2 linked regions of the Rhinolophus ferrumequinum genome follow. The protein of the gene in region 1 interacts with the protein of each later gene in a pairwise test. Links are inferred from orthologs where the notes say so. Each region holds a gene or a part of one and is shown in the gene's direction. Other genes may lie near its edges. The genes, in order: FLACC1 and SULT2B1.

Region 1 (7,948 bases):
GCATTCAGCATTGTGATGCAAGGCTGTGAATTGGAAAGAAAGATCTGTTTTCTGAGTGTTGCTGATCAATCGGTCTGCTCCTCATCCAATGACAAGCTTTATCTAGACAGGGCAGTTCAGAAAGAAATACCATTATATGAAAGGCATGATGGAGAGAAGATGAGGGAGGGAGGTAATTATTTTATCTTTGAAAATGAGAGGCATATTACTTGACTTTTTGGTGCTTAATTTGCACATCTTTTGCTCCTTTGTACTGACTTAACTGAAAGGAATTTTCTGAAGAATTCTTAAAGAGTCTTGCTCCTATGGTTCCCACCGATGCACTTATTCTTCTCTCCTCCTGAGGTGCCTTTCAAGAACTATGTGCTCAAAAGGGCAGAAAAACAACATGCATGCTGTGGGAAGAATGTGTGAGTTTTCCATGCTTTTTGAGTCTTTTAATAAAACTTTTTAAAGTCAGTTTCTTAAAAACAGAAAGTGAAAGTATCCTTCCCCTCGCTCCCCTTCTCTCCGTCATGCCGAGTACAGCAGACCTTACACATACGTGTTCAAAAAGGATTCCCGCTGAATGTAAATGTCCCTGAATGTGGTAGGCATTGGCCGGAGAATTCCTGATGTTATATTGTTTCCAAAATATCCCAATTCGCTTCTTTTTTAAATAGTGTTTGAGTTTCTACTTCATAAAGTAATTCTGGGGTGCTTATTTTGGCCGATATCTTAAAGCTTTTTATTTATTCTCTTAAGAAAGTAATCTTCCTGTTGCCAGTTTCTAAGAGACATCAGGAAGTAGGAAAATACAGGGCTAGAGAGGAGTACAAAGTGTTAAATTGTCAGATTTATATCTGTTATTTAAATTAAGCTAGTACTCTGTCTAATTAGCATACTTTTCTGTAACGATGCTAAAATGACCACTTTAGAGGCCTGGCCAGGGCGTATTCATAGCCAAATAAACCCATCTGATTAAAGAGAAGCAGACTTAGGTTTTTGAAAATTAGATTTATGTTGCTGTTCCACCGGAAGCAGAATTGGATACTGGTGCACGCTTTTCTCTAGAAATGAATCCTGTTTTGAATTGGGTTTTGCTGGTTTTTGAAGTTTCCACCTAAAATCATTTTTGATACAGCCTGAGAATCTTTATTATAACAAACTTGTGTGCAAACTATAGTCAGAAGAACTGGAGCCTTGTAGTAAGTTCCTCCTCCTTTTACCTGTTATGCTTTAACACTATTCACATTGTAGTTTTTCTATATCAACTGTATACGTATTTTTATGCGAGTATAGGAAACTCCAATCTTTTTCTCCTTCAAAGTTTTCAGTGATTATACCTCAGGTATTTCTGAGTATCCTATTATATAATAGGAAGGATACCTTTGTAAGCTCAGAATTAAAGGTACTCCTGAATTATGATGATCCCAAATCTTATGTAAATAACCTTAGGCATGTGTCTTAGGGAGAAGTTAATAACGATTGTTAAAGTAGTTTTTAAAAAAGGATTTGTACTCTATGTCCTTTGTTTGACATGAATGAACAGACTTTGGCAAAGAAAGGAAATAAGTTAGAGACAGCTCCCAAGAGCATTTTCCAGGGTGTATTTTATACAGTATTCAAAACCTGTTACTTTTTCTGACCATTCTAGTACATAATTTGTACTACTTGTTGGTTACTAACATTGAGTTTTGACATCTGGAACTAGAGCTCTGAGTGTCTAATGGTCTGCTCCTTTGATGTCAGATGCCTGCAGGCTTGTACTCCAAGTGCCACAGACTGTGTCTACAACTGAGCGCTTGCGTTGCAGAGCACAGCTACCCTGTGGGGCAGCCAAGGAAATCCTGTTTGATATCTGCGGTTGATTTTGTCAAACAGCTCTTTGTTGCACCTACCTTTGCTTTGTCAAATGTAAATCAGATAATAAATATGAGTATCTTCTTAAATTTTCATTTGTCTTCCTGTGTATTTGTCCCAGTTCTTTTCATAAATAGTCCTGCATTAAGTCTTTCCATTTTATTTTGTCGTCTTGGGTACAGAAAACAACCTATATTTGTCAAACCAACCCAAAACAAACCCAGCAGTAGTGGTACGTAGTAGATCTTATTGTATTTCTTAGATATTTGTTTAAAACACAGAATAGACAGAGTATCTATATATGCCGTATTTCTTCCTTAGCAAAGTAACAGCAACAAAAAGTAAAATCTGAAGTCACTGATATGCAGATGTTTAATTTGAAAGTATTTAGGAAATGTGAAGCAATTCTTCATTCTTACAGTCCACAATATACTGTTGATATTGTTAGCTATTTAGAAACTGTTTCCAAGAAACTAAATTTAAAAATTGTTGGACTCTGGTAGAGAAAGTTATTTGATATTCTCATCTTCATCACAGTTTAGTTGCTGTGTTTTTTAAATTCATCTAATATCCATTTAGAATTATAAATATTTTGTGAGGAATAGGTGAAGTGTGAGTATGTACTTGTTTGATATGAAATTTAATGGTATTTCCAGCATTTTGAATTGTTTCTTTCACAAACCATTACAGTAGATGTGTTTAAGTCCAAAAACCAGACGAGAGGAAAGATTTGATGCTTTCAGCATCCTATTAATTTCCATCTCTGTTTTTATTAAGTTTGAGTTATACTAGTATCAAGCTTTGATTTTCATTAGTGTTTTTTTGTTTTTGTTTTTGAAATAAAGGCCAAATAAGGGCCATAAAATTTTCAAATGAACAAATGTTGCCGTGCAGGTTTGACAAAGATGTTGAAATATAACTTGGCCTGGCAGGCAGTGTTGCCAACAATAGCATGAAGTGTTTTGTTCTTCAGTGTGAGAAAGTATGAGGAAAGCACACCGAAGGTGATGTGAGATGTTAGGGAAAAATACAGAAGAGCCAATATATAAAAATCAAAGGATTATTTCATTAAATGTATTTTTCTTGCCTTCTCGGCAAAATCACTAATATTGGTAGCATCAGTCCCTTTCCTGGGTCTTTGGAAAGAGCCTTTCATGCAATGCCCAAGTTCCCCTAAATTCAACCAAAGAGAAGAGCAGTTAACTCTTAGTCCCAGAAGCCTTCATTTCCTTCCCCTCCACCATTTTGGAGCTGACAAAGTTGTACTAATGTTTAGACAGAGGAAAGGAAGAAAAACATCCCAAAGTAGTGGTAATTCGTGTTAAACCTTGGCCAAGTCAACTGGCTCCTTCCTTTGTATCTTTGGTTTTAACCACTCTACACACAAGACCCAAATCCTGCTCTTTTTAAATCATAAGGAAGCATTTTAATATAAAATTTCACACAATAAACAGATTCAGAGAAAATATCCAATCGCTAGTGGATGACTACTCAAATCTATCCATTGTTCTCTTTAAACCTTTTTTCCCTCCCTTTTAGCTTTTGAAGTCTGTCTCCATCTAGCGTGCTAATGGTACTTGTGGTTGTGGCAGCCATAGTGCAACCACTAGGCTCCCCTCAGGCGACACACAGGCTGGCATGACAGAATCACTTAAAGAACCCAGCTCTCCAATGACATTGCTGAAACTGCATTAACTGGTAGCACCACCTCCATGTTTTATATTTCATGAAATTAAGGAACCTCTTTGGTTTAAGGACTTTCATTCAAGTGATAGTTGTACATATTTTAACTTACACATTGAGAAATACTGTCGTAAATATTGGGCTTCTCCGGGCTCTGTTGTAGACACCTCTTCTTACATAACACTCTTTCCCGGTGTGAGCTCATCCCTTAGCTTTAAATATTATCTACTCGGAGACTCCTAAAGTGTTTTCAGCCCAGACTCCTTTGAATTCCCAAAACATGTAATAAACTCTGTAATAGACATCACATTTCAATGTCTCCCTGGCATCTCAAACTCAACATATCCAAGCCTGAAGTCAGAATCTGCTCCCCTGGGCCTTTTTATCCCGCAGACTTTCCCATCTCAATAAATGGCACCGCCATCTACTCAAATGCTTGAGCTAGAAACCCAGGACTCATCATTGCCTCCTTTCCCTCAACCTGGGATCCAATCAGTCAAGTCCTGTTGCATCCTCTGCTCTCCATCCCACTGCTGTTCCCTCAGTTGAGGCCACAATTGTGTCTCCTTTGACCCCTGCCGTAGACTCCTAACTGGTTTCCCTGCCTCTTGTCTCGGCCCCTCCAGTGTTTCTCTACATTGCAGTCAAAATGATTTCTCTAGCATGCAGAGCTAGTCAGGTTCCTTCTCTGATTAAAGCTGTTGTCTGACTCATCAGACTAGAAGAGACTCCCTGCTGTACACTCACACGGCATCCGCTAAGTTTCATTGTGCTTTTACTGAATTTATTGTCTCCCCTCTATGGACCACAGGAATTGAGGTGCCTCACAAAAGTGCCTGGCACACAGTCGATAATAAATGTGGAGTAGAATGAATGCATACATTTATAACAATGGTTTGTAAACTATGGGTTGTGAACCATCAGTGGATAATGAAATCAATCTAGTGGATTTATAATCAGCTTTCATTTTAGGTGGAAGAAAAAGAATCAGATGAGAATTAGTAATAAGGGTATTATTTCATACAACTTTTTATTTCAAAATGTGTAAAATATACTTCTTATAGTGAGTTGCAATAAAATAAAAGGAAAGCCGCTGGTCTATAATAAGCAGGCATTTTTTTCTTTAATGAGAAAAAGTAGCTTTACTTGGGGGGGAAAAAATCTGATTTCCTGGCACCTGAAAAAGACTCCTGCCCTGGGGGATTTGTACTTCTACAGATTTCGAAGCTTGAAATTCAAGGAAGAAAGTGGCTACTTTAGAGTTTTAGGTGTCTGTGAGCAAACGTCAGAGGAGCTTAAATCCATCACAGATCCTGTCTGGTAACTGCTGCCATGGGCCAGTTAAGCCTAAGAGTGCTGTTTAATTTCCTCTGAAAGTATTCATCAGTGTATTTTGTCTCATGTCTTGGAGAATTTCTTAACTGGCTGCTGCTCCAGCCTTTTTTCTTTAAGAGCAGAGTGCCTGAGCAAGTCAGGTGCTGCCATTCTGTTTCCATAGCAATAAAAGAAACAAACGTCGGCCTGCCACCTCCTCTGGCCAAACCTCAAGGACAACTCAAGGCCCAAGTCAAGGGAATCTGAATGGAGGGGTGACTTTCTCCCCTAGTTTGACTTTCATTGCAATTTCGGAAGACTCAGACTGAATCGTCTTTAGAAGGGACATTTGCGCTCGTGCCAGTTCAACCTTTGTAAACGCCAGTGCCTGGATTCACTGGAAGTCTGTCTCTCTGCACTACACATACTCTGCATTTTTCTGCTTTGGCATTGGAATGACCACTAAACTCTTGAGTTCTGGAACCTCTGGATTTAACCTACAATGAATTCTGATTCTGTCTCGATGGGAAACAGTTTCTCTATAACATTGTGGTGTCTTTAAGACTCTCGACTTGGGAAAGAACCACATGGGAGAAACAAATCTTTGGACAGTCCAAGGTAAGCTCTTTGGAAAAGATGTTCTATATAATTTTTTTTCTTTTGATTATTAATACTAACCAGTGACCTTTCTGAAGGCTCCGCTGCCTGGTGTCACAAGGTGGCACATTCAGTCCACTGAGCCTCGGGCAAAGTCATTAGGGAGCGATGCAGGAACGGCAAAGAATGGGGAGAAAGAATCCTAAATCACACACGCATGTGCACACGCGTGCACGTACATACACACACACACACACACTTCTGTATGCTTAGAGTCATGCAATGCAACATCAAGCCACTGTGAATGCAGTAGATGTGTCTATGCTGATGTAGAAATACCTACTAAATATCCTGTTATGTAAAAAGAGCAAGGCATGGCATGGTGTGTAAAGTATGCTCTCATGTATGTATATATCTTGTATATACATACAAGATGTATATAAAATCTTCATGTATATATATAGAGAGAACACTTCTGGAAGGATATCCCAAACAACTTAACAGTGGTTTCCTCTTGGGAGAGTACTGGAAATTGAGGGCTGATGTTTAGTTAGTATTATGCACAATTATTGAAATATTGAAATAGTACCATACTGGTTGTGTGTATACAAGTATACATTGTCCAAGCCCCTCACCTCCTCCTCTGGTACCCCCAGACTTCCTCATGATTCAGCAACTCAGGGGTTAATGCTGGCATGAGGGTAGGAGTGGGGTCCTCCAGTTCCCCTGATCCAGCCTTGTAGCCCATATATATTCTGATTGTCTTACTGGTTATTAAATATTTTGAGTATCACCTCCATGGGGGTTTGGAAGAAGAGGCCTTCACTTTTTAAGAGCAAAAGAATATATGCCACAGCATTGTTTATAACAGAAAGAAAGGAAAAAACAAAATGTTCATCAATACAAAACTGATTAAAATTGTAAACAGGTACATTCATTGAATAGAAATTTATAGCTATGATGATATAGGAGCAAATCTCAGACTTGCTTTAAAGATTTGCTTTAAGTATAACTTAAGTTACACATTTGCTTTAAATTTACTTTAAAATAATCTGATGTTGGAGGAGTGGGCTGGGTATAGATGAATGAGATTAGCCACAAATTGCTACCTGTTGAAGCTAGATGGTGGGTGAGCTCATTATACTCTTTTCTCTGCTTTTGTACATTTAAAAATTTTCTCCACAGTAAACTTAAGTTTAAAAACTGATGATTATATGTATAGTTACTGACATTAAAAGAAGCTCAGGACATTATTGAAAAAAGATTATCTACAATATAAGTAGAGTTTGTTTCTGTTTATGGACAGTTATATAAAACTGTTTCTTTAGAGAGAATTCTAGAAGACATTAACCAAAATATTTTCAGTGGTCATTTCTAGATGTTTAGTATTTTGGATAATTTTTACTTCCTTAGGTTTTTCTGTGCTATAATTTTCTTTACAATGATCCTATTTCAATTTAACACACACACATGAATAAACCTATTCTCCCCAAAAACTTAGAAATAAAAGCTTCTGTAAACAAAATACCATTGGGGTTCATAATATTCCTAACTCAGTTACCAGTTTTTGAGAACCTAATGTGTGCAAGACAGTATGCCAAGAGCTTTCCTGACATGGTCTCGTTTCATGTGCATGAAATGAGTTTAGCCCAATGAGGGGTAAACTCTCATGTTCCCATTTTCCAGATGAGGAAACTGAGACTCAGGAAAGTAACAGTAAATTTGTTGAGGTCACACAGCTGGTAAGCAGAGGAGCCTCTATGCAGTCATGCCCATCTGACCCAAAAGCCCAAGGGAAATTTTAGTAAAGAATATTGTACAGGAAAAAAAAAATAATATTGACATTCTGGCCCACTTTTCATTTTTTAATATATTCTTTTCTAATCCTTTTCTGTATAGGTACATATTTCTACATAATTGTATCCATTGCATACATACCATTTTATATCTTTTTTTATAAACATTTCTTCATGTTTCTACAGGTTTTAAAGTGGGCAGTTAAAAATCTATGTAAAACTCCATCGAGTGGTTGTGCCATAATTTACCTATGAATTTTGGTTTTTTAATTCTAACTTTTAATATTATCTATGATATTGTAGTGACCGTTACATTTTTGCAATTTCATCTGTGGATCTCTTTTCTCCTTGTTGAACTGGTTCCTGTGGTTACAGCCACCCACTTTATTAGTCAGGCAACAAATATTTATCAAATACTCATTGTAAACAAGTTGCCTTGCCAGGTTCTGGCAGGGGGTGGAGGGCACAGAGAATGACATGGTGAAGTCCAGGCCTTCAGGAATGGCACAGTCCGGATGGGCAGGCAAGAAATGTAAGAGGGAAGGCAGTTTCTGGGAGCTGGCCTGCCCTAGCTGATCACTTCCTGCCTCAGGGCCTCCTGCTAACTCCCCTGAGTTCTGGATTGGACCCTGTCTTCACTGGAAGCTGATACAAGATCCTAAGCAGAAGCAAAACTATCTTGCTATTGCTGCCGTCTCCTTTCAGATTCTCACCTG
Region 2 (7,231 bases), on another chromosome or scaffold:
CCCTCAGACCCAGGAGTCCAGGCCCCCAGCCCCTCCTCCCTCAGACCCAGGAGTCCAGGCCCTAGGCCTGTCCTCTCTCAGAGGAGCACTCTGGGTCCCTTTCCACTCCATTCAGATTCTTCGTTCCAGACTCCAGGATTTAGGAGCCCTGCCCCCAGCCTCTGCCCTCTCGGGAACCCAGCCTCTAAGCAGCCAGAGCTGGCCCGTCCTCAGCAATCCCAGAATTCCTGGCAATTATTAGCTTTTAACGGAAAGGTCGGGCTCTAGAGGTGACAATGGCCCCGATTCTGTGGAAACATGACCTTGTGACCCAGTGACCTCCCATTGCCCATATCTGATCTCCAAGAGCAAAATAGCATACCTGGGGTTCCCTGGAGCCCGGTTGGGGGGTGCTGGAGAGAGGCCAAAGAATTGATATGAGGGGCCCAGGGCAGAGGGGTATGCTTGAGAGTTCTCCATCTCTGCTCTCTGCACTCAGCCTGGCCAGGGAGACCAATTCCTGCTCCCCTTTCACATTCAGCCCCTGAAGTTTGAGGTGCAAGTGGGACCCCCTCATGGTTAGTAGCACATACAGGCGATGTGTTCATCTTCCTGGGGGCTTCCTGGGGCACAGGGCAGCCCAGCCCCCATCCTTACCTGGCACTGTACCCTGCTACCCTTAAGCCCCCAAGGGTGGATGTGAGCCCCCACCCCAGGGCCCAAAAATAGCCCCCTATCTCCAGATGCGCCCCCTTTGGCCTGGAGGAAATACTGCCTTTCTGTCTCTCCAGCCTCTAGGCCTTTGCCTACACCAGGCCTTCCCAGAGGCTTTCTCCACTTAGGTCCTTCACCTGGTGAGTTTCCCCTTCTGGGGCATCCCTGCTGTGACCTCCCAAGGAGGCCCCATGTCTACAGGCAGGACACCAAGCAGACCCAGTCTAGCAAGGTCAAATCAACCAATACTTAGCCACGTGTGTCATCTTAAACTTTCCAGTAGCACATTTTTTTAAAAAAGTAAAGAGAAACAGGTGACACTAATTTTAGGAATATGTTTTATTTAATCCAATATGTCCAAATATCATAATTTCAATATGTAATCAATATAAAACTTACTCGTGAGATACTTTACATGTTTTATCTCAATTCTGACACTCGGGTCCCAAGAGTTAAATTGAAATGAAGTCTTACCAAACCATTAACATGCATTAAGAGTAAAGCATTTTACGGGCTGGCCGGATGGCTCAGTGGGTTAGAGCTCGAGCCCTGAACAACAGGGCTGCCAGTTCGATTCCTACATGGGCCAGTGAGCTGCACCCTCCACAACTAGATTGAAGACAATGAGCTGTAGCTGAGCTTCCAGACGGGCAGCTGGAGTGCGAGCCCGGTTGCCAGTTCAATTCCCGCATGGGATAATGGGTTGCACCCTCTGCAACTAAAGATTGAAAACAGCGACTGGACTTAGAGCTGAGCTACGCCCTCCATGGCTAGATTGAAGGATGACTTGGAGCTGATGGGCCCTGGAGAAACACACTGTTCCCAATATTCCCCAATACAATAAAATAAAAATTCTTTAAAAAAAGAGTAAAGTGTTTTATACTGTTTCTGATTTTAAAGTTAAATTGAAATTAAAAAAGTGAAATAAAATTGGAAACGTTCACTGCCTCGATCACATGCACCACATTTCTAATGCTAAATAGCCAGGTGTAGCCAGCGGCTCCTGTATCGGACAGCACAGTTCTAAACTGTGTTTACTTACCCATCTCATTTGGGGACACAGTAGATCCTGACCCAGAGGAAGTCTTCTCAGATAATAGTCAGAGGGAGGGATGGATAGAAGGAAAGAAAGATTGAAGGGAGGGAGTGAGGGAGGGAGGAAGGAAGGAAGGAAGGGAGGGAGAGATGATGAATAGATGGAAGGATGTGTGGATGGATGATGGATGGATGCATGACGGATGGATGGATGGATGACGGATGATAGAGGGATGGATGTATAATCGCTGCTCCTCCCACTACTCCCACCAGCTGGCACTGTTTCCCACTTTCTTCTTCCCATCCCCCTCCAAGTCTCTTCCCTGTTTCCCATATGCCTAAGTCCCCGGGTTTATTTCTGTGGAATCAGTGGTCCCCATCACTATCTCTCCTCTCTGTCATTGGATAAGATGCTACTCTGGTGTCTTCTGGGCCCCTTGCCCTCTGCAACCAGGCCTTGCATCTCCCCATCCCGGACCTCCATTTTCTGAAGAGATTTAACTGAGTCCTCCACGCACTGCAGTGACCCAGCCACTCATTCCCCATCACCCTGTGACGATTCGTTCATTCCACCGGCAGCATTCATTGAACATGTCCTGCTTTCTGGGGACTCCTCCGGGCACAGCCCTCAGGAGCCAACAGGGGACAAACATCATAAGGCCCGTCTTCATGGGGCTGACAATCTGACGAGGAGACAAACGGTCGACAAGACCAAGAAGGAAAATATGTAGAGTGTTGGATGGTGATGAGTGTTATGGACAAAAGGACAACAGGAGAGGGGGACGGAGACGTTGGTGGGAGGACTCAGAGGAGGGGTGACAGGGCAGGCTTGGATGAAGGGAGGCAGTGAAGCCCCCAGGTGCCTGGGGAAAAGCACATCGGACAAGCAACAGCAGGTGCAAAGGCCTGAGATGGGAGCGTTTTCTGGGTCCCTGGGTCCCCGTGTTTGGCTGGTCCCGCCCCAGTCAGACACAGCCTCCAGGCCCGCCTTGTCCCTTCAACACCCTCCTCTACACTCTTACGGGGTGTTCTGGTGTTCTATTTTTGCACTTATTCTTCCAACCAAATTTTCTCTGGCACAATATACTAGAAAAATGAGAAATTTTTAGAAAGAGTCCACCAAAATGTTGATGGTGGTTACCTCCGTGGGTAGGAGGATCACAGGGATCCTTATTTTAGTTCTAGACTTATCTGTTCAGATATATTTTTGAATAAAGTACACACATTCCTTTAAAAAGAAGTCACTTCTGGTGAGGAGATTGGGTTTTGTGGCCAGACTCCAGATCTCTGAGGGTCAGGACACCAGAGGGTTTGGGGGGATAGAGCTGAAGGGGACACTGGCTTTACTGAGCCTACCACTCGAGAAATGTCTCACCCAGTCGTCACAGCAGCCCGGTGACATGAATACCACTCACAGGTGGGGAAACCGAGGCACAGAGGGCTGATGGGACTGGCTCTAGGAGCCACAGCTGAAAGGTACTGGAGCAGAGATCAAACCAGGCGCTGTGACCTTCAAACTCCCATACCAACCATGTCTGGCGAGTATCTGTTGTATCTCTGGATCTCTCACTATCTCTGACCCCCTGTGTTTCCCTGTTTTTCCCTTGGCTTCTCGATGTCTCTGTCTTTGTGTCTCTGTCTCTCTGTGTCTCTCACTGTCTCTGACCCTGTCAAAGTGCCTCTGTCTCCCTATCTCTGATCCTCCGCATATCTCTGTCTCTGTGTGTCTCTGTTCTCTCTTGGTCTCGCCATGTTTCTCACTGTCTCAGTCTGGCTGTTTCTGTCTCTCTCAGTGTGTTTCTACGTGTGCCCCTTACAGTGTCAGCCCACGAGGGCAGTTTCTGTTTGTCTGGTTCCCACTTAGACCAGTGCATGGCAGACAGGAGGCGCTCGATAAATATTTCTTGAATGAATAAAGAAATGAATGAATGTGTGAATGAATGAATGAATGAATGAACGAATGAACGAACAAACAAACTCTCTGAGATAGGATTAGCTTCTTAGTCCGACGAACAAACTCAGGTGGGCGCGAACATGCCCAGAGCCAGCAGCCCGGAAGGCTCCAGTGCAGGATTGACGCTGAACCCCTGGACTCTGCCCCACGCATTCACAAGATGCCCAGGTCGTGCTCATCACCCCTCCTCCCCACCTTTGGAGAAGGGTGGCTCCCTCTCGGCCTCTCCCCGCTGTTGGAGGCGTGGGTAGCAGCTGGGAGAACCGGCTGAGTACTGCCCCTCCCCTTGGGCGTGGAGGTAGGCTCCTGGCGGGCTCCCCAGGTGGCAGACGCTGCTGCTGCACATACCTGGTCCCCGTGCTGCCTGCTCCCTGCGTGTCCTCCCCTCCCCACCCTCACCCACCTGCCATGGACGGGCCCGCTGAGCCCCGGACCCGGGCCCTGTGGGACACCTACGAGAACAACATCTCGGAAATCAGGTGAGGCCCAGATGTGGACACCGGCCGCGAGACTCCCCCAGAGCAGGTGGCCTGAGGGAAGAGCCAGGGGCCTCCGCAAAGCTGGCCCCTGGCCTCCTGCAGCCTCAGACACAGCCCAGACTTGGCTGGCTGGGCTGGGCTGGCTCGTCCACCCTGGAGTGCAGGTCCCTCCTGGAAGGGAGTAGGTGACTAGGGCTGTCCTGAGTCACTAGCTGGGATGCCTGGGGTGTCCATGTACCTCTTGGGGCCTCAGTTTCTCTGTCTATCAAAGGGGCCCATAAATCATTTGTCTCCCTGATGTAGGACTGGATGAGAGCAGGAGGCTTGGCGTGTAGTAGTTGTTCAGGAAACAAGAAGGATGTTGTACTTTTTTCCTCCTTGAGACTTCTGGCTGGCACAGTGCCCCTCTCCTCAAAGCCCTCAAATGGGGGTGCTTTCCCTCACAGGGGCTCAGAATGTGCCACCAGCAACATTTGAGGGAGGATGGGAGAGCATAGATGGGTGGGGTGCAGGATGTAGCTGAGTTCCAAAGCCGGAGGCTGTGCCCCAGGGGGCAGGGGGCCAGGAGACTGGGCCCCGACTCCTTGGTTCTCAGGAGAGGTTAGGACGGAGCACTTCCTATCTCTTGAGCGTGACTCCTTTGTTCCTGAGGATATCAGACACTTCTATAGTACCCACTTTCCAGATGGGGAAACTGAGGCCAAGGGGCAAAGTGACCATGATCATGCAGTCAGATGCCAATTTGACCGCAGTCTGTCTGATTCCCAGAGTCTGTGGTTTCTCATCTCCTCAACAGTATAGGTGATACCCACTCCTCATGGCTTCATTTTACAAACGAGCATGAGGAGGCTCAGAGAGGGCAGGCAGCCTGCCCAAGATCACACAGCAAGGCTGTACTGTTTCAGACCCTCCCCTCCGCTTCCTCACCCAGGAGCTGGGACACGGAGAGGCTTCCCTAGTGGCCCAGACTCCAGAGACTGGAACAGCTGAATTCTGATTGCTGTGTGACATGGACAAGTCTCGCAGTGTCTCTGGGCCTCTTAGGTTCAGAGTGGCCACCACTCTGGCTGGTCCCAGCTCTTCTTGAGGAAGGTACCAGCATTCTCTTCTCCAGCTCCTCTGGGTTCTGCAGTTTCTTTGGCTCCCCACCTCTAGGAAGGTTTCAGCCTCGGTTTCCTCACCTGAAAAATGGAGGTAAATAACCCTTACCTATAAGATACTTCTAGACCTGAGTGGTTGCAGCCCGCTGGGTGGTGGCCTTAGGACCTTAAACTTTCTTTTCCATGAGCTCCTGGAATCCCTGCCTCTCATGAGGGTCCTTAACATCCCTTCTGGGGCTCCCTCCCTAGCCCCTCAGACACACATCCTCACTGAACTCAGCGGCTCCCCCAGAATGACTCCTCCTCCTGGGCCGCCATCTCAGTCACCAGGTCAGATTCCCAGGCACTGTGCTTTCCTTACTCTCCCTCCTACAGCCTGTCCCTCCCCAGCCCCACTCTCCTATGACCCGACTATCTCCATTCCCGTGGCCCCTGCTCAGGCCTCATCTTTGCCCCTAGAGCCTTGCCCTAACCTTTCCGCCTCCGGTCCTTCCCAGAGCTGCCCCTCCCCTCTTCCCAGTCCCAAGGTGTCTCCAGGCCCTGGCAGTCTGGGCTCCCAGCTCAATCTCCCTGCTCGCCTGCATTCCATCTACCCCATGACTTCAAATTCCCTGGCCACACCTCACTATTCCCTGCCCCAGTGCCTTTGCATATTCAGTTCCCTCTGCAGGGATTCCCAGAGAAATCTTTTCTAATATGCAAATCTACCCCTGGCCATCCCCAGCTCAAGGCCCTTCCAGGGCTCCTCAGCACCCACGGCAATGGTTTCCAAACCTTTTCTGAGGCACTGGTACCTTTGTCCAAGAGAATTCTTACTCCCAAGCAGAACTACATCATAGAGATCAAAATGGAGCTGTTCTGGTTTAAAATGGGGCGTAGGGACTGCGGTCCCCCTATTGGCCCTGCTCCTCCTGTGGGCTTGCTGCTCTGCTCCCACCCTCCTCACTGCCTGGGCCCCAGCTGGCTGCTTCCACAGCCCTTCCAGCCTGAATCACACACCTTCAGGCTTTTGTGCCTGAAGTTTCCTTCACCTGGGAAGACCTCACTCCTTTGTGTGGCAAACTCCTTCTCACACATTTTAAGATTATTGGGCACCACAGGTAGGTACCGTGATCACACTTCTAGCTTCAAACCTGTCCCGTGACACCCAGATGCCGACCTGTTCACAGATAGGGACAGCGTGGGGACCACCTCTGCAGTCCTCGGCTCAGGGCGGGGATGGACAATGATGTCTCTGAGAATGATGTCAAGGAATGAATGGGAGTGAGATAAGGCAACCTTTGAGCTAGAGCTTGCAGAAAGATTAGTCAGGATGACAAAACAGGTGAGGAAGGGCAGGGCACACAGGAGGGGCAAAAGGACAGTGGCTCTTGGGAGGAAATGAGAGGCTGTGTGGATCTGAGGGCACCAAATAAGCAGTGGAAAATTCCTGTGGGGACCATTATTACACAACAGTGACATGAGTGACTCTTAAGGTCAAATGTAAGAAGCAATTCTTAGACACTATCCTCCCCCAATAAGAAAAGCTAAGCCATATATTGTTTTGAGGGTACAAGCCTATGTGATAAAACTGTCCCCCCCCAAAACAAGCAACTGACAAGGATTTAATTCGGGAAAGTGGTTGTGGAGAGGAGGTCCAGGAGATGAGGAGGAGCCCAGAGACATCCGCAAGACACATTGCACAGAATGTTCTAGTGCATGGGGTTTATCAATTATGCTTTATAAATTTTATATGTGTTCCATATACATATAAATGTATATACATGTCTGTATATACATGTATGCATGTATGTATATACATGTATGCAGTGGACTAAAAAGGGATAACAAGGGCAAAATAAAAATGTTAAGAGGAAAAAGTTAGAAGGCAGGTAGGCAGGACAAAGATAGTTACGGTCAGTTTACAAGCGGGGGAGCCAAAGAGGAGACAAGCCCAGGGGACATGAATCCCTATAGAATTATTTTAAGTA

The links.
Region 2: the proteins of FLACC1 (region 1) and SULT2B1 interact in binary tests that used the Homo sapiens proteins (3 or more experiments, as listed by UniProt). The two-hybrid records come from large-scale screens. The link is inferred for Rhinolophus ferrumequinum from reciprocal best matches to the Homo sapiens genes FLACC1 and SULT2B1.

The regions. Positions count from the first base shown.
Region 1 is NC_046291.1:30,025,268-30,033,215, forward strand, and holds the start of FLACC1 (flagellum-associated coiled-coil domain-containing protein 1), read left to right. Parts: upstream 1-4,942; 5' UTR 4,943-5,457; intron 5,458-7,948.
Region 2 is NC_046298.1:44,070,604-44,077,834, forward strand, and holds the start of SULT2B1 (sulfotransferase 2B1), read left to right. Parts: upstream 1-3,958; 5' UTR 3,959-4,090; coding exon 4,091-4,161; intron 4,162-7,231. UniProt on the Homo sapiens protein: Sulfotransferase that utilizes 3'-phospho-5'-adenylyl sulfate (PAPS) as sulfonate donor to catalyze the sulfate conjugation. Responsible for the sulfation of cholesterol.